3 linked regions of the Saccharomyces cerevisiae S288C genome follow. Changing the gene in region 2 together with the main gene of any one other region gives a genetic interaction. Each region holds a gene or a part of one and is shown on either strand. Other genes may lie near its edges.

What was found. Genes that interact genetically often act in the same process or in processes that back each other up.
Region 1: mutations in STB4 (region 2) and TAO3 together harm fitness more than expected from each alone (negative genetic interaction), as found in Saccharomyces cerevisiae (one large-scale study listed by BioGRID).
Region 3: mutations in STB4 (region 2) and YLR177W together harm fitness more than expected from each alone (negative genetic interaction), as found in Saccharomyces cerevisiae (one large-scale study listed by BioGRID).

The regions. Positions count from the first base shown.
Region 1 is NC_001141.2:107,022-115,851, reverse strand, and holds the start of TAO3 (Tao3p), read left to right. Parts: upstream 1-2,614; coding exon 2,615-8,830. Other genes in the region: MET18 (Met18p), read right to left, coding at 1-2,046. UniProt on the Saccharomyces cerevisiae protein: Seems to play a role in cell morphogenesis.
Region 2 is NC_001145.3:310,101-316,274, forward strand, and holds STB4 (Stb4p), read left to right. Parts: upstream 1-2,055; coding exon 2,056-4,905; downstream 4,906-6,174. Other genes in the region: PEX9 (Pex9p), read left to right, coding at 108-1,652; FMS1 (polyamine oxidase), read left to right, coding at 5,277-6,174. UniProt on the Saccharomyces cerevisiae protein: Binds to SIN3.
Region 3 is NC_001144.5:508,689-513,656, forward strand, and holds YLR177W (uncharacterized protein), read left to right. Parts: upstream 1-2,365; coding exon 2,366-4,252; downstream 4,253-4,968. Other genes in the region: RFX1 (Rfx1p), read right to left, coding at 1-1,544; TFS1 (Tfs1p), read right to left, coding at 4,474-4,968.

The sequences.
Region 1 (8,830 bases), on a different chromosome or scaffold from region 2:
CAAATTGGTGAAGAAAAGAACGTTAGATAGAAGTGTCAAATTGTAATTGTCACTTACAATGGCCGATTCCTGAGTAATTATCTCAAATAATTTTGGCTCAATGGCATTCTTGAGTGCAAGAGCATCTTCTTCATTTAGCACGTTCTCATTTTGATTATTATTATTAAAAAGAGAATATATGGTTGAAATAAGTAGAAAGCAATATTCTCTGGATTTCGAAATTTTAGCTACCCTATTCAATTTTGTCGCTAAAAATGTAATGCTTTCTTTGACCAAAATATGTCTCGAAGTGGTGAAATCAAGAATAATCTTCAAAATTGTTTCAATGTGAATATTTTCCTCATCATTTACTCGAATTTTTTCCTCGAAGCAATCAGGTAACAAATCCAATAATTTCTTCAATGATATTTCAAAAACTAAATCCTCATATATCTCACTGATTGTCTTTAACCCTTCCAAACAAGCATAGTAAATGTTTTTGTTGTTATCCGTTAATATTTCTTCCGTGAAGTATTGAATAATTAGTGAAACTTCCTCTGGGGTTAAAAAGCCCTTCATTTTAATCATTTTTGTGAATTGAATCACAGATAGAGTCCTTATGGTAACCTCTGCCTTGGAGCTTCTTGTCAAGGCCATGCTCAAAATCATTATGATCTCGTCTTTGTATTCAGCCATTTTATTATTTGGCACCGGTGTTCCCAACGATTCTTTAGATGTTCTTCCAAACAAATCAATGTACGAGTCAACAAAAAAAGAAAAATTCATAATCAGCAGCTTAAGTTTGGCAACTTCAGATGTATTGATCAAAAATAAGGGGAAAGTTGACGAAATGACCTTGTTAAATATCTCGACATTCCCACTACCTATAGCGGACAAAATCTGGCAGGTTTGCTTCAAATCCTTTTCATATTTAAAATTTGGTTTCAACTCATCTAATACATGAGTGAAGAACTTTTCAAATGATACTTTGTCAAAATTGTATAGTTGCAATGCCATTAGATTAATAATTTTCAAGCAAGCATCGTAGTTAGTATATTGGCCCACATCATCACTCTGTTGGTCTTTATTGTACGGATTTAGTAGAGTGTTTTCATTTCCTTCGCTGTTTTGCATAATTTCAAATTTCAAAGCGTTCCAAAGTAACGTCCAATTTTCCAATATAGAAGAGCCGCCGAATTTTCTAACGCATTCTAATAGCGTCAGAAGTGTATCATTTTTCACTACCGGTGAAGAAGCAGTGAGTTTGTCCAGCAAATTGCTATAAGCATCTTCGGCAAATAATGGCGTCGCAGTAATTGCTGATCGCAAAGCTGTTTTTAAATCTTGGTTGGAGATCTTGTAAGGATCATGCTTTGGTGGCTTGAAAGTGATTGGGAAATAGCAAAATAAGACATCAAATAAGTCTTCTTTAAAATTCTCCACGTTTTGCAAGGACGATGTGATAGATTTATTAAGTGCAAATGACAAGAGTAAATTTCTAGGGTCTTTTTCACCATTGGCAACATGAAGAAATGTTTCAATAAACAAATCGTTGATTCGTTTGACTTGTTCGGTCGAGGATCCATTGACGAAAAATCTATCAAATATTTTTCTCAAAATTTTAAATGGCCACAGTCTAGTTGATGCCAAATGCTGGCCTTGTTGATAGTTGTCCAATAATAATCTCAAAAGTTGGGCTATCTCGTTAATGGAGACATATTTCATTGGAGCTAATGCGGCGAAGCCCTCCAAGACTTCTTTTGCAAGCGCTTGATCATCAAGCTTAGACTGGTAAAACTGAAATATTACTGAGCATTCGTTTTTGGAGAGGTGGTCCTTGGGAGTTTTTGCTAAGATAGTGGTTAAACATGTCAACGCTTTCTTCCTTTCTACCTCATTTTCTGAAAGAAAATAATCTTTCAACGCAACGACAACTTCCAGCAATTTTATTGATCGGTGTACAATAGAATCCGTTACTGTGGAAGCGGTTTCGTTGGCCTTCGAATCATCAATATTCAGATTGGCCATAAAGGTGACGACTGCTGAATTTAGTTCGTCTGGTGTCATTGTAAGGCCCAATTGTTCCGCTTTTTCCCAGTTAAAACAAGTTCAATGAAAACTAACAGCTAATAACTAGATGATCATAGAGGTGACTCCTTCATTGCACGTAAAATGTACATAATCTACAATTCACTTAAATAACTAAACCAAATTTCAGTATTTGAAAAATTCATACCTATTACCCGCTTTTAACTTTTTCTTGGCTACTCACTCATGAAGGCCTAAAAAGAAGCTGCAAAGTGGTATTACCTATCTCGAAGTATGTCCTAGCTCTCTTTGACTCATTGAGGTCACCTAGAGTATACCATCCCTTCCAAATTAGCGGTATCAACATCACATACATTGGGAGTTGGTTGAATCGTTATGGTTGTATCACTAACCACGAAACGACAGCCACACAGGAAAATACATATAGAACTGTAGAAATTGGGATAAAGGATTAGGCAAATGAAGAGAGAAAGCAAATGTGGATTTAGGTCTTCATAATAGGACGTGACTGGTTAAAGTGTGAAAATTCTGGTTGTTTGTTGTGTTCCCATTTTAATAACCCTTTTTAGTTTTGTTATACATCAAAATGGCCTCGAGATTTACTTTCCCGCCCCAGAGGGATCAAGGCATTGGTTTCACCTTCCCACCGACAAATAAAGCAGAAGGTTCTAGCAACAATAACCAGATATCAATAGATATTGATCCTTCAGGCCAGGATGTCTTGGAGGAAATAAACGAAGCGCCACTTAACACATTTCCTCTTCACCAATCCGTTACGGATGCACCTATTATTGATATTCCATCTCCTACTGATATGTCTGAAGGCACCTCTCTAAATAATCAATTACTTTTACGGCAACAACAGCAACAAGGAACGGGGGAAGGTCAAGCTCTTCCGCCTACCTTTGTTGAGGAGCAAAGTGATCAAAACAAGATTTCAATGCTACTACCTGAACAAAAGCAGCAAAGAATGCAAGAATCAGCACCGCCGGACATTACAGCAAAATCAGTAGCAGAGGACTACGTGACTACTTTGAGACAGCAAATGGCTACAGATTGGAAAAGTCCCTCTGAATATGCTCTTCATATACTTTTTACAAAGTTTATTCGTTACGCGGAGAACAAACTAAATATGTGTCTACAGCAGTTGGACATGGCGGAACCCCCAATTGTAGAAATTCTTGGTGAAGGCGTTGATCCCAGCTTTGATGAAATTATTAAATCTCTAGGTCACATTGCAAAGAAAAAACCGAAACCTGTGATTGATGCAATGATGTTTTGGAGGAAGACTAAATCTGAAGCGGCCAACTCTGCTTCAGAAGAAATGGAAAAACTATTAAAAGAGTATGAGTTTGAAAAGGCACATCCCTCGCAGGCTCATTTTTTAATGAATAGGCGGCTATCAAGATCTTCCAGTAATACAACCTCAAAGTACAAACATAATAACAATACCAATAATCTTCCTGGCATGAAAAGGCACGTTTCCTCATCTTTCAACAACAAAGTTCCGTTAATCAAAGCTAGTAGCAGTAACAATAGCGCTACTTCAAGTCCATCCATAGCGAACTCACAATTGAAAAGTTTAGAGAACACAATTGAAGTAGCAAAAGAAGAAGCATTCCTTGCAGATAGGAAATCTCTGATTAGTATATACATCCTATGCAGGGTGCTAAATGAAATTGTTAAGCAGGCTTCCAGCAATGAAGAAGAAGATTTATCTGATAAGCTAGAAGAGATTGTTTTTACTCAGTTAAAAACTACTGATCCACTTTCTATATCAACTAGTTTAATTAAGTCTTCGAATTGGAATTCTTTTGCCGAACTACTGGGCTCTATGTCTGAAAAGAAATTTTTGTCAGTTAGTGATCGATTTATAGCTGATCTAGAAAAAATCCCGGCGTATATACCTCCCGAGTTAGAGCCAAGTACTCATTTGTTGATTCTTGGTATGAGATATTTGAAGTTAAGAAATTATCCGTTGGAGAAATTTGAAGAAAGTGCAGATTTCATGAAAAGTTTATCAAAGTTCTTCGCAAAGACTGAAAATTTTCCGGTTTGTTTGGCGTATGCTGAAGTCACTAACCAGCTATTGTTGCCTTTGGCTGGCTCGTTGACGGCAGAAGTTAATCATCCAACGTGGGTAGAGGCAATGTCTACTTTACTGAACACTGCCAAGAGGCTACAAGCTGATAGTAAGTATTGGGTAAGTGGTTTCAAATTAACAGTTTCTATTTTGTGTGCATCACCACCAGACCTATTTTCTAAACAATGGCTATCGTTGTTGGAGGCAAATGCCTCAAAAGTTAAGTCCAAAAGTCTGAATGAAAGGATTATCTTTGCAGTTGGTTTATCCAGATTAGTTTGGGTCTATTTATATAGATGCCCAGAAACTTTAAATAATACTACAAGGACGCTTACCAAGCTTTTACAACTATATCTAAACACAAGGAAAAAAGAGAATTGGATAACCGGCGATTTTGGTCTCTTGAACCCATTGACAGACGCGTTAATATCAATTGGATTTTTACATCCGAATTTTTTAATGGAACAAGCTTTAATTCCATTGATACGGCAATCTTTCAATGGCTCTAACCTGGAAAATATCAATTACGAAAAACTGATTTTGACTATAAATACATACAAAGGATTGCTGGTTACAAAAGAGAGGCCAAGGTTTCCTGAGGATGATAACAGGCTTTATGAACTAAATTTAAACAATATTACAGTGAATCAGGTTCAAGAAGCCTCTTCCATAAACCATACAGAAATATCAGATTACTTTTATAAATTATTCCTTTTATTGGATTCTAGCATCGGTTCTGAAGTTTGGTCTCCTGAAAATCAGCACCAAAAGCAATCATCAAACGCATTCAGCCCATTTGGCTTTAGCTTTTCTAATGACAATGACTCAAGTAAAAATAAGTCGCTTTATGTTATATTGTTCGGCACCATCATTGAAGCTATACCATGTTGCCTTTCTATTTCACGCACTATCCCATATAAATCTACAATTGAGATTTTATCAAGGAACGCTGTTCATTCGGAGGTAATTATTTCTTCTAGCAGTCAAAATGCACTAAGAGCATTAGCATCTAAGAAGAATCCATACACCCTAATCACATGGTTTGCTAAATATTCATTTGATTTCGATGAAAAGACACAATCAAGTTATAACATGTCGTACTTGTCATCAAAGGAGTACAACAGATTATTGATACTTTATGTTGAGCTTTTGGAATGCTGGTTAGAAGAATTCCAATCGTCCAATAAAGAGGAAAATAAAAAAGAAACTGGTTTGGATGGAATTCGCTTGTTGCCGATCGATGCAGAACAAGAGGAGAGTAACGAAACCGAAAAACTGGAGTGGAAAAATACAGTTACAGTTATTGAAGAAGTAGAAGGGAATGGCTTATTTTTTCTTTGTTCACACGATGCAAAAATTCGTAGATTGGGCATCCAGATATTGAGAATTATTTTCAAGTTTGACGAAGCGATGATGGAGAAAACAGAGAAATTGTCAAACGGGCATTCTAGATCATCATCCCATTTTGCAGCTGATCGCGGAACAAGACTTATTGATTTATTAAATGAGTGTAATACCACTACCTTAATTAATCCACATAAAGCAACATTAAGTGCGGTTGAAAAAACGAGATTCAGTCGACTGAATTCTAAATATAAAAGAGGTCTACTTATCAAACTGGCCGAATCAGAGTACGGAGTAGATGCTGCACTATGGCAAAGGGCTTTTCCTAAATTACTGGCGTTGGTTTTCAAAACTTGTCCTATGGCGATGGCATTGTGTCGATCTATCGTTTGTATAAGACTTGTGCAAGTACACGAAATAATTCTGCGGGTAGCAAATGATGTTGATTTCAAACTCAAAAATGTTTTACCGGAAACAATAGTAAACCAATGGAAGCTATATTTGATTGCCGCATGTACTTCATTAACTTCCACGTTTGACCAAAAACTGCATATTCCGTCCAATATTCCTCAGCATGGCAGGAAAAAAAGTCAACAAATCTTTACTGTTCAGCACCAAAAAATCAAATCTGCGAAATCAATCTTCAAGATGGTTCTTCCCTTATTAAATGCAAAGTATATTATGATTAGGGATGCTATAATAACGGGGCTAAGCTCAATGAATATCAACATTTTTAAAGCATATGTGGAGGCAATTGATGTATTTTTAGTGGCATGGAAAGAAGGGAGCTCCAACAACCAAATCAGAGTGGAGATGTTTCATATTTTGACGATTTTATCGCCGTACTTAAAATCGGATATGATATTTAATGACGAATGGATACTTCGGAAATTATCAGAGTTTTTGCAGAAGACAAAACAGTTCCTCGAGAAGGATTCTGTGCAAATCTCCTACGAATATCAATCGCTGCGAAGCTACTTTGCAGGTCTTATATTGAGCTACTATATGGCAGTAAGAGAGCATCCGCTAATAGATGAATTATTTCCCTTCCAAGCACGCGCATCATGTTTCAATTTCTTGAAGGAATGGTGTGGTTATGGTGAGTACGAGCCAATATCTGAAGAAAGATATGCCATAATGATAAAAAATACAGAGAGTGGCAGAGATAGAACCGCTATTACAACTGGAATAGAATTCCAAAAAAACAGATTGCAGATGATCGTGCTAGAGACTATGGTTGTTTTATGTTCAGATCCAATAACCCAAACATTGGACGATGATTTAGAGTTGCCTATTGTGATTTCATTCGATACTGAAGATTTACTTGCTTGGATTGAAGCACTATTTGACTCGGACAATACTACTGTAAAAAATCTTGGTGTGCGTGCTTTGGAGAATCTCCTGGACAAAAATAGGGAAAATTTTAAACTATTTAGAGATGTTGCTTTCCAATGTGTTTCACACCACTCACATCCTTCGGTAGCTGTTTTATATTACACTACACTTTGTAAATCCGTTTTGAAATTGGATAATTTGGTTTTAGATGAAGATGAATTAGTCTCCTTGGGTTTGTATGGTTTAGTGGCAGATAAGGAAGATACAAGGACATTTGCTGTTGATCTACTTTCAGCTGTTGAAACGAAATTACATAATTCTTCTTATACCAAGGTATTTAAGGAGAGACTTGCAAATTCTTCAAAGACGGTTTACAAATCAACTGCAAAAGAAATTTCTAGCATATTTGCCGAACTGCTCTCTCAGGATTTGTGTTTGAGAATATTTTCCAGTTTGGTTAGAATACTTGATTTGTTTCCTTTCGAAATAAAAAGAGATTTGTTGGTGCTTATGGTACCTTGGGTAAACAAATTTACATTGAAATCTTTAGAAGAGTTGGACACGTTTATGGTATTGAATAACCTATTTTACATCACTATTGATCTTAACGACTCTTTACCGAACGAAGTAGAGCAGCTATGGATTTCTCTTGGCAAGGGTAATTCTTTCCAAAATATACACGTATCGCTGGAGTACATCATAAATTCTTCAATGAATCACTGCAATCCATTGTTTGTTCAGTATGCTAGAGATATTGTATTGTATTTGGCAAATATTCCTGGTGGCATTGGACTACTTGACACTCTATTGAATAATTTAGAACCGAAATACATGGTTCCTTTAGCGAAACATACGTTTAATGAGCCAATGAATAATAATAAGTATTCCTTTTTAGGGAATATCTGGGAACGACTAAATTACAATGGGAAAAGAATCATTTTTTCGAAGGCGCAGCTTTCGATTATCTTTTTAGTCAATTTGTTAACGAACTTGAGTGAATCTGTAAAGGCGAAAATTCCTCTTCTACTACATATGTCCATTTGCTTGCTTGACCATTATGTGCCGCTTATTCACGAAAGCGCGTGTAAAATTGCATCTACATTAATATTTGGATTGGCACCAAGTCACGAAAAGTCTGAGGAAACCGTGAAACTACTAAGAAATAAGCATGCCTTATGGTCATATGATAACTTGATGAAAAAAGGTGCAAGATCACCAAAAACTATGGACCTATTAATTAGGAACATAATCTCTATATTCTCGGACTTAGATGAATTTCAAGTAACTTGGCAAAGAATTGCCTTGAAGTGGGCTACCACTTGCTCAGTTAGGCACATAGCGTGCAGGTCATTTCAAATATTTAGATCATTATTGACATTTTTAGATCAGGAAATGTTGCGTGATATGCTTCATAGACTTTCGAACACTATATCGGATGGAAATGTCGATATACAAGGATTTGCCATGCAGATCTTGATGACTTTGAATGCAATCATGGCCGAACTTGATCCGACGAATTTGATCAGTTTCCCGCAGTTATTTTGGTCCATTACAGCATGTTTGAGCAGCATTCACGAACAAGAATTCATTGAAGTGCTGTCATGTTTAAGTAAATTCATTTCCAAGATCGATTTGGATTCTCCTGATACCGTACAGTGTTTGGTTGCGATCTTTCCTTCCAATTGGGAAGGTCGCTTTGATGGCTTGCAACAAATAGTTATGACTGGATTGCGATCAGCGAATTCCTTAGAGATTACGTGGAAATTTTTGGATAAGTTAAATTTGTTGAAAGATAGCCGAATTATAGCAAATACAGAGTCTAGGCTGCTTTTCGCATTAATAGCAAACCTTCCGAGATTTTTGAATGCAATGGATCGCAAAGATTTTACGGGCATTCAGGTTGCTGCAGATTCGTTAATTGAACTTGCAAATGCGTACAAACAACCTTCTCTTTCCCGTTTGATAGATTCTCTAGCAAAGAACAAGTTTAGATCAAAGAAAGATTTCATGAGCCAAGTAGTGAGTTTCATATCTAGAAAC
Region 2 (6,174 bases):
AGAAAAGGTCATCACTTTTTTTCGTACTCTTATCCGTTTTATTTTATTTTATTCTTTTTTTTTGAGTGGAGAATCATTAAGAATAAAGGGTACCTTTTGTAAGCACGATGAACGAAGTTACTTGTTCCATAACTGGTGACAACCCAATTCATAAGATCAACAATGGATTAGGCTTGAAATGGAATAATCTGGGTAAATTCTCTGATTTTCAGACTAACGATAGCGCCGCGCGAGATGCTAGAACAATAGATTACATCTTTACCAATTGTCAAACCGGCAGCAGTATTGGTAAGATAGATTTTCGGGCCGCACTACCGGCAGATAAATCTCAACATAGTGGTGTCAGCGAAAAAGAATTTTCAAGACTTGAGAACCAGTGGTCAAAGGAATTCTCTTGTTTCCCCAAGAATAAAAATGCTGATGTGACCAAGCCCAGTAGAAACAAACATGAGAAACGCTCCGCTAATTTGCACAATAGGTACTTTGCACAATATTATAGTACGGCATATCAGCAAAATCGTATATATCCTTGTCGAATATCTTACAATGAACACTCATCTGTTTCTAATGGCTGGGAATTTCAGTTCAAATCAATCGAAAATCAGTTACTAAATGAGCTAAAGATAGAAAACAATGTAGAAGAAAAAACTGTTGGTTATGAATATGTGGCAGAATACGAAGAAACAATTGATTTCATGCATATGCTGTCATCCGTACCACAAACATATCAATTCCTAAAATCAAACATCTACATAACGGAACGGGACCCATATAAAATAGGATGTGTACTAATGGACAACGGTTCCAATTTGAACGAAGTAGTAATGGCCTTTGAAGCAGCCATTTCACAAGATCCAAGCCATATAAATGCATGGTTGAAGTTAGGTATAGTTAATTTTGAAAATGAAAGCGAAAGCAATGGAGAGCTTGCTTTGCGAAATTGCTTAAATTTGGATCCAAATAATACAATTGCATTGGAAAACTTAGCAATTCACCATATAAATCAACAAAATGAATCAGAGTCATTGAAACTTTTTCACAAATGGATTCTTTCAAAATTTTCGAAGGTTTTCCAACCTTCTGCGGGGGAAAACAAAGATAGCATTAATAAAATTCCGAAAAAGGCCCATTTGGCGCATATTCTAGAATCCCTGTTGAATATGGGTATAGAAAAAAAAGATCAGTATGATATATATTCAGTATTATCAATCTTATATTATTCGGATCAGAAAATAAAGCAATCTCAGAAATGCTTAGAGTTTTTACTACTGGAAAAGCCCAATAATGGAACAATATGGAATAGATATGGTGCTATTTTGGCCAATACTAAGTCGTATCACTCTGCGATAAATGCGTACAATAAATGCAAACAACTAAGACCGAATTTTACAAGGGTTCGTTATAATTTAGCGATCGCCTACATGAATAAGGGTGACTATGTAAAAGCAAGCAAAATGCTAATCGAAGTTATACTGTTACGAAGTAAAGGATATGAACACAACAAAGCAAAAATGCAAAACAAATTTATGCAAAATTTAAAAAATGCTCTCATCGCTTCAAAAAATTTTGATTCACTTGATCTAATAAATGGTTCTCATAATACAGAATCGTTAATATCAACCTTAAAAGCTATTTATAACAAAATGGATTAGGTTTTAGTTAATTTTTTTGCTATATAGTGCATTCAAAATAAAAAAAATTAAAGCTGAAACAAACCAAATATGCTATTGGACGTTCGAAAAGCTAATTGCGTAAAGGAACACTAAACACAGCAAGCTTATGCTAGTTCTTCTCAAAAATATAAGTTCCTCTTGCAAGAATATGAAGGTAATTTCACTTTATCGCGCAAGTGCATATTTCTGAGTTTACTATGTGCTTCGTCTGAAACCTCTCATTATCTACTTAATATCGGCTATTCATCTCACGTATTCACGTAATATTTGATTTTTGTACTACTATTTCTCTCTGTCATACGTGCATGATACATTTCCTTGTTCAAATTAAAAGAGTCACCGTCAGCCTCTCAAAACAAAGAAAAAAGATACCCGGCTGAACATGAGTATCAATCATGAAATATATTATATACTTGTATTTGAGCATCGTTCAGTAGCAATCAAGCTCATCATCGTAGTGATTGTTCTCCTTCAGTTTTTTTTAGCACGAAGTCGGCAAATTGATAGGACATGGGCCCATACTAATAGAAAGGAACGGTTCAGAGAAATGACAGCTATCGGGAATACTGATGATGCACTTGATACTAGTACAGCCGCAAGTAAAGAAAATGGAAAAGGTAGACTCAGGGTTCAAAAAGCTTGTGAACTTTGCAAGAAGAGAAAGGTTAAATGCGACGGTAACAATCCTTGTCTGAACTGCTCTAAACATCAAAAAGAATGCCGTTATGATTTCAAAGCTACAAACCGTAAAAGAAGAAGACGACAGGTCGCATCAGCTGTTCGGGACGTTAGTAAGACATATGCAGAAACCAGTGAGTCTTTTCCTAGGGACTTGTTAAGTAAATCAAATATTATCATAAATGCCCCCTCAGATGGTGTATCTTCGTCTGCTAGCAACTCTCCCAATCCAAATTCACATTATCATCATATATCATCCACTTTACCCTTCATGAGCGGTAGGCCAAACCATACATTCCATTCCGGAAGCAACTTAAATGGAGAAAATAACAATAACAGTTTTCCGGAGGATCACATGGCTAAATTACTTCTGCAATTGAGTTCAAAATTGGGGAATACGACCAAGGAATCGTCAATTAGAACAACTAGAACCAATGCTAGTGATGTGAATGCAAACCCGACAGTGGTCAACATGAAAAATAGTCAGGAAGACTGTGACACGAATCACAGGTCTGCAATATGTGACTCTGCAGAGGCTCTTCATAATAACAACATCAATTCTAAAGAGAATAAGATAATCAACTCTCAAATAACTAACACTGTTAATGATCACTTTGAATCACCCTGGCAGACATTTTCTTTAGATAAGTATAGGTTTCACCGACGCTACCAAAATATTCTGCCCTATTACCTTGGTGTATCTATTTTAAAGGATCTATCTCCGCAGACAATAGAGTACGCGAAGTTGAAAAGGCCAAGAGTTCAAAACTATGGTTGGAACTTGTCAGGAGGCCATTACTTAAAGTATAAGGGTGACTTTAGAAGCCAAGAAAAAAATATAAGGCATGAGTCTAAATTTTTCGACTTTGATGACCCTGTTCACTTATCCTTAATCAATAAGTTACTAAGGTATTATTTTGATGAGATCAATCCTGTTTTCAGTATCATTCACGAAGCGACATTTTGGCAGCAATATAACAATAAATTTCTACGGCAAGGTAAACAAAATAATTCATCTGCGAATCTATTCACTTCCATGCTTTATCTAATTTTGTCTACTACACTAAGATTCAGAGAAGGGCATCTAGATGGTCAGAAAGGGCAAGGAACCTACAGTAACACATCCTTAAATATCACATTCGAGGAAAAATCTATTTTGATCAAAAAACCCTCCATAGAGGAAAATTTATTCAAATACGCTTATTTAATAATCAACACGCTGACCTTTGAGTGGGAATCATTCGAACTAATACAATCGTGGCTTTTGATAACCTTCTATTTCAGAACCTGTTACAGACAGACGGCGTGCTGGAACGCGTTAAGTCAAGCGGTGAACATGTGTAATGGGATGAGTCTATATTTAAACAAATTTCCTGAGATCCATTCCACTTATGATGAATCAAAAGCATGGCATTGTTTCTGGTGTTGTTTTATAATGGATAAGTTGATAAGTTTTCAAATGGGTCGATTCTACCAACTATCATTACCCGCGAGCGAGATGTGCGAACAGATGAATCTAGTGAAGTCAAAGAAATTTTTACAAGAAGAAGATGATTGGTTTCACGAAGAGACTTTTCAAATGCTTGATTTGTCCATAATAGTGACACAGTTTTTAAAAAGAGACGCACAGGATTTAAATTTGAACGAGACCGTGCAATTGCGCAGCCAACTTGGTCAATGGTATGACACCTTTATAGTTGGAAGTCAAACCAATGCGTACGACGACAATTATCGTTACTTCTATCAAGTTCAACCATTCATGACATACCTGGATATAAGGCTGACTTTCGAAGTAAGACAATTATTTTGTCTAATCGCCCCCTCATCTACCGCAAATAATAAATCCCTAGAATATGTCGTCGATACTGAATTGTTAATTTCTCATTGTCAAATGGCTATTGAAAATTTGGCTGAAATTACGAGAAGTAATCTTTTCTTTGTTCCGTGGTGGTTAAACCTTTCTCAACTATTCACGGTAAATTTAATATGTATTATCTACCTGCACGCAGGGATTGCCGTAACTCAAAATAAAGCTATCATGCAAAGCTGCCAAGAAATATGGCGAACCTTAGAGTGCTCTAAGCCAAAAAATCGGCCTTCAATGCTTCCTGAGTGCTTGTGGTGTTTGAAAATGCTGAATCATATGTTCTGCATACGACTGAGAGATTCTGCTTTGCAATTGGAAGCTACTCTCGGAACTGATCATGGTGATGACACCCCTAATAGAAATAAGTTTGAGCAGTTCAAGAAAGTTGGCGATAATGATGCGGATGTTGAAGTTGATGCTGGTGAAAGAGAAGAAAATGCTGATGAAAGACAAGAAAATCCACATAACAATAGCAAAAGAGTACCATTAGCTACTAGGTCTCATAATACCACTAACTTCGACGGTTCAATCGCAATTTCTCCGGAAAGTGCAGTAGCAAATCTAGGTACTGATACTGGATTGCCCTCAGATGTTCTTGATACTGTCAGTAAAATAGGGAACTCTCCTAATGTGTTTGATGATGATTTATTTTCCAATTTATTATGGTTTGACCAAAATTTTGCATAAGGATTCTTTTTCTATTCCATAAAACCATTTTATGGACACGTTTACCTACATATTATTATATTGTATATAAGATGTTGAAAAAATTGAGTCAACCTCACCTTACCACATGTTGGTCCGTTGCTATGACAAACTCTCGTTTTACAAGAAGGAGGCTCAAATTTCGGGTCACCCACCCATATACGGATGTCACGCTATGAGATCTTTTAAACAATAGACAATTTTTGGTATCCTAAAGATATAAAAGAGGAGTTTTTTTAAACCATGGTAACTATTTTCAAATTTGCTCTGCTGCAGTTTTTTATTTCTGTTTTTCTTTTTTTGTTCCCAACAAGAAGTGAGTTAATAAAGGCAAAAACAGTGGTCGTGTGAGAATGAATACAGTTTCACCAGCCAAAAAAAAGGTTATTATAATTGGTGCCGGTATTGCTGGGCTTAAAGCTGCATCTACGCTACACCAAAACGGTATTCAAGATTGTCTTGTTCTTGAGGCCAGAGATCGGGTCGGTGGTAGGTTGCAAACTGTCACAGGCTATCAAGGTCGGAAATATGATATAGGTGCTAGCTGGCACCATGATACGTTGACAAACCCTTTATTTTTGGAAGAGGCTCAACTGAGTTTGAATGATGGGAGAACGAGGTTTGTTTTTGATGACGATAATTTTATTTATATCGACGAAGAACGTGGAAGGGTAGACCATGACAAGGAACTGCTTCTTGAAATTGTGGACAATGAAATGAGCAAATTCGCAGAGTTAGAATTCCATCAACACTTAGGAGTTTCAGATTGCTCCTTTTTTCAATTAGTAATGAAATACTTACTACAAAGACGCCAATTTCTCACAAATGACCAAATAAGATATTTGCCACAACTCTGTCGATATCTGGAATTGTGGCACGGCTTAGATTGGAAGCTTTTGAGTGCCAAGGATACATACTTCGGTCACCAAGGAAGGAACGCCTTTGCTTTGAACTATGATTCTGTGGTTCAAAGAATTGCTCAAAGCTTTCCTCAAAATTGGTTAAAGCTAAGTTGTGAAGTGAAATCAATTACACGAGAACCTTCAAAAAATGTGACAGTGAACTGTGAAGATGGTACTGTGTACAATGCTGATTATGTTATTATTACAGTACCTCAAAGTGTATTGAATTTGTCTGTACAACCTGAAAAAAATTTACGGGGAAGAATAGAATTTCAACCACCCTTGAAACCAGTGATTCAAGATGCTTTTGACAAGATCCATTTTGGAGCGCTAGGTAAAGTAATTTTTG
Region 3 (4,968 bases), on a different chromosome or scaffold from region 2:
GGGAGTACACCTGCGGGAATTTTTGGGAAGTCTAACTTATATGATGTCAAAAGCGGATGTTCTGTGTTCGATAATATTTGGGTATTATAGTTATCTGATAGCTTGTCATTACAATTGAAAACTTTTTCAATTAAATCATGAGTGAAAGTTAATTCATCTGAAGACAGTGTTCCGGTAGGGTTATTTGCCGCTGGTGGCAGCGAATCTAGTTTATTTGCTTCTGTTTCGTTTGGATGCTGTGATTCGAGTTCTGGTTCGTTAGGGTTGTCATTACTACTCTGTTTAACGGGCGACCCAGTTCGAGAAAGACTTTTTCTATTTAATGAGAACGGCGATGAAACGTTAGGTACCTGCGGCGAAGGTGAAGAGGGCGATGGAGACGATAGGGGCGATATGGGATCGTTATTGTGTACTAAGGATAACGAAGCATTGTTGTTATTAAGGGACACGGAGCCGCTTTCGTTGACAGTTAGTTTCAATCCGCAGTAGTGGTATTTGGATTGACCTCTCATACCCAGCCTTCTAGTCGTTAAATCAGGAAAAACTGTTCTTATCAACTTCCCTAATGACGCCTGTGATAAGGGCTTCAGGTTGTTTTGGGAACAAGATGAAGCGTATTGAGCAAATATTTTGCCTCTTGGTACGTAACTATCGTGCTGAGATTTACAATTTTTCATTAACCAAAGTAACGCAAACACTTGTCTTTCTCTTTCTCTGTTTTGTTCCGCCAGCTGCAAAGCTGCCTTTGAAGTGTTCTGTGAGTCCATGCTCAGGACTTTGATTTCTGCATGCTTCACGATCTGCGCATACTCCTCGATGGTTTTAGATTTGTTATTTTCTGCAATTTGCTTAGCAATTATTTCTTGCGTGTTTCTCCTTGAAATGGAAGAGATTCGTTTCTCTTGGCTTGTTTTCTGTTTTTTCGTACTGCTTGGAATTGAGGGGAAGGTATTGGTACGTTTGGCAGCAGTAGGAGGATTATTGTTTAAGGTTTCCTCTGACTTGAAAGAAAGTGGGTAAGCAGATGAATTCGATCTATTCAGGCTGATAGACGCTGGATACACTGAGTATGTGGCAGGTTGCCGTTGTGTTGCGGGTTGTGCAGGAGGCTGTGTAGGGGTAGGAGATGGTTTATGGGAGCCGGGACCACTACCGATAAGTGGCGGTAATATTGGATTTGGCGTCTCCGGGCGGGGGGAACTTTGGTGTAGCAGGCTGTATATTGACGATGATTTGCTCGCTATGGGCGGGATATTCACTGACATGGGGGGCAAATAAGTGTGTGATGCTGGCGGTGGTTGGCTGCTGTACTTGGGTGCGTTTAAACTGTACCGATTACTGTTTACCGAAGATCCGTTACTTGGACCGTTGCTATTGTCGTTCGAGCCCCGACTAGTAGGTTCAATGTTATTATCACCGGACATGGGCAAATAAAATTCAAAATAATGAACAGACAAAAAACTAGGCGAGAAGATGAAGTACTTGGCAGGTATTTTTCTAGTGAAAAGGTTTTCTGTTGGTTTGCGTTCTTTGAAGATTACCATTTACTGCTATTTTTTTTTTCAACTTTTTCCCAAATCGCCATGACAACACGAAACGACAGGAGAAAAATTACGAAATCAAAAACAGGTTCAACTGTTGCAGCAATAGACACCACAAACGTGCGCAAGAAACCGCAACGAAGGGGAGGTGACCGTGCTTGAAATAAAATCCGAAGATCCATAGGTGAGCCACGAGTTTGATTCCAAACTCGTGGTTTTACCAACGAAGCTGTATATCGTGGAGTGGCGCTACCATTGGACCTTCGTTTCTTCTTTCCCTCTTCCGCACCGTACCAGATAGGAAAAACCGCACCTTCGTTTTTGCATACCTAGATGGTCCTGTAACAAGAATAGAGCTAAAGAAACAAGTATGCGTCGACTGCTGCCACGCCCGGCTGATTTAGGTGCACATCAGCTACCCAGCATACAAAGGGGCTTCCGTACGGTTGATGGTTATTTTTCTTGGTGTGTTGGTGCTGCTGTATCGCTGGTGCTGTCTGCGTTATTACGACTATCGTAGGACAAGGCCTCGAGAGGTGTAGGGTAAATCCCACTTGCACAAAGTATGTACACACTTGATTATCCAAATACCAAGAGAGTGTGGTTCAATTTACGGGCAGCTCGAGCTGCCCGTAAATTGAACCTTCCCCTTCCCCACGCTCAAGGGGTTCCTGCGCCGGTGTTTCAGGGGCAGGACACGCGGGGATCGCTGGCACAGTATATAAACAATAAAAGAACAATGGAGAGAGGAGGCGCCATTCAATATCAGCTCACTAGAGTGCATAGACGTATAGACACAGGAATAAAGATAGAAATAGGGTACCATGGAGCTGCCTTCAATAAATAGCACCACAAGTATATCCGACAACCAGGAGTTAAGGAATTACTATGACAAGTTGCTGTTCAAGAACAATAGTGGCAAGTCGCTAGCGGATTTGCCAGGAAAAATGGCAGATTTTAACGACAACAGCGCTGCTGCGCATCCCCGCTCCAGAGTTGACTTTATCAACGGTTACATCGGTTTCAGAGAGGATAAGCAGTCTCTTCTGGGGCAGAAGAACACTAAAAGGGCCTCGTTCAGCGCATTTGCGGACGAAGGAAGGAAACAGAGCGAGATGAGCATTAACGGGAAGAGCCCTAATTTGTCTCTTTTCTCATTTGAGTTTAACGGCACCCCGACTCAGGACAGAAAGCCATACAAACAGGATTACTTGAATGTGATGAACACTTCGCCTAACAATATTCTTTCTCCCTTAAACAACAGCTCCCAAAAATACTATCCACAGAAACAGCAGCAGCAGCAGCAGCAGCAGCAGCAGCAACAGCAACAAAGCATCTTTGACCCGGGAAGAAGATCTTCCTATATTTCTGATGCGCTGATTCATGGCAATGCGGCTACCCAGCAACCACAATACTCGCAACCTGTATATATTAACAACAACCCATCTTTGCAAGTACCATACACTGCTCCTTCCGAGTATACTCAGCAGCAACAGTACTCGTCACCCTTCAATGCTAGGCGCAACACCCAGCCAGTGCTGAACTTGCATCCGGCAGCCGCTCCCACAAACGATGCCGGATTGGCGGTTGTCGACGGCAAGAATTTGACGTCATCCAAGGAGCTGCATGACTTATATCTTGACTGCGGGTCAAACTATTTTGCTAGTGATAAAGTTTATAAATTTATTGACAGCATAAAGGGAACTTTACGCGGGGATAATGTCTCCGCCTCCAGTTCCAGGATTATAGAGTTTTTGGATTTTTTGAAAAATTGTAATCTGAATTACAACCCACAGTCTGACGCATTCATCTCCACTGCTGTTTCAAACGCTTCGTCGACCGGGGCGGCCAAATCCAAGAACAGCACTTCAATGCATTTGCACTATAAGCCATTAGTGTTAGTATCGTTGAAAAATGGTAAGCTCGAACTGTTGTCTAAACCACAAACGGCCACACTTATACTGAAAAGGGGCGATTTGGTCATTATTGATGGTGATCGTGGTAAAGATTTAGTTTTGGTGGTGGAACCGGTTGTAGATATAAATTTGGCACTATTTATAAATTTTTTGAAGAAAAAAATTCACTTTGATTCTCTAATCACCAATAGTCAACAGCATTTCCCCAATGACCAGTTTATCAAGACTCTGGTTGATACAACCAATGGTAAGCCGGTCGCTCATGAGTTGAATCCGAAGTTATATGATATCATTGAACTAACGCAATTGATCATCCCATCAAAGCAGGTTCTGAGATTTGCCACCCCGTGGGAATCCTCCACGAATTTACACAACAAATTCCAGGATGAGCTAAAGGCTCTTCACATTGCACAGCTAAAACTGAGGTCGCTAAATAACAATAACTCCGGTGGCGGGTTGAACATCAAAATATTGAATGCAGAGTTCCAATTCGACAGAAAGAAATTGACTTTCTACTACATTTGCCAGGAGCGTAATGATTTCAGAGACCTGATCAAAGAACTCTTTAAGTTTTACAAAACAAGAATTTGGCTTTGTGCTATACCGAACAATTTATCGATAGATTCCAAATTTTATGATTCAAACAAGTTTGAGTGGGAGATGTATCAGGATATGATGTCCCACTATTCCATGGACAACACTGGAATTGTCGTGGCCCCTGAACTGAATCGCTTGAAACTGGACGACTTCCAGATCGGTGTTTATATGGAATTGGTGAAGGTTTTGTTCGGCTAACCCAAACTTATATAATCATTATAAACATTTTATAAACTTATACACTTTTTTAATAATCTCACCATGTTTTTCTTATGTGTTTTGTTTGACAATGACATTACTCCCTACAAACATGTGCGCGTTTGTGACAAAAACATAAATAAAACAAAAATAATAAAAAGTCAAGTGAAAAGCACTGAAATCTAAAAAATAAATACATATACATATATATATATATATACCTATTTCGTTTCCGCATAGAAGAAATTGGAGGCAACTAGTTGCAGGTTGTTTTCCTTAGCCCATTTGCCAACACCGGTGGCAGGGGTGCCGTAACCCCAGTTCGGTCTATCCTTAATTTTCGAGAACTTAGATGAGTCCACGCCCTTAGGCTGCTTATATAACAAGAAAACATATCTGTGGGGACCGGATCCCTTGGGTGGAGCTGGTCCCATATATTCTATTAGTGTGTTCGAGCCCTTCGTATTGAACTCTGATGCAAAAAATTCGGTTGCTCCGGAGGTCTCGTGAGTAGCCTCATTCAACAGCTTTAAGTCGCATTCTACCAAGTGGCAGAATTCAGACCACTTGTGATCTGTCTTAGAGGGAGCATCCGGATCGGTCATTACCAGTGTGAACAAATCGTCGTCTTGGGGAACGTACGCATTCGCCTGTGGTACGCTTTTTTGCATTTGCTTATTGAACGTGAACTGGAATTGGGGCTTGGAACGTGCCTT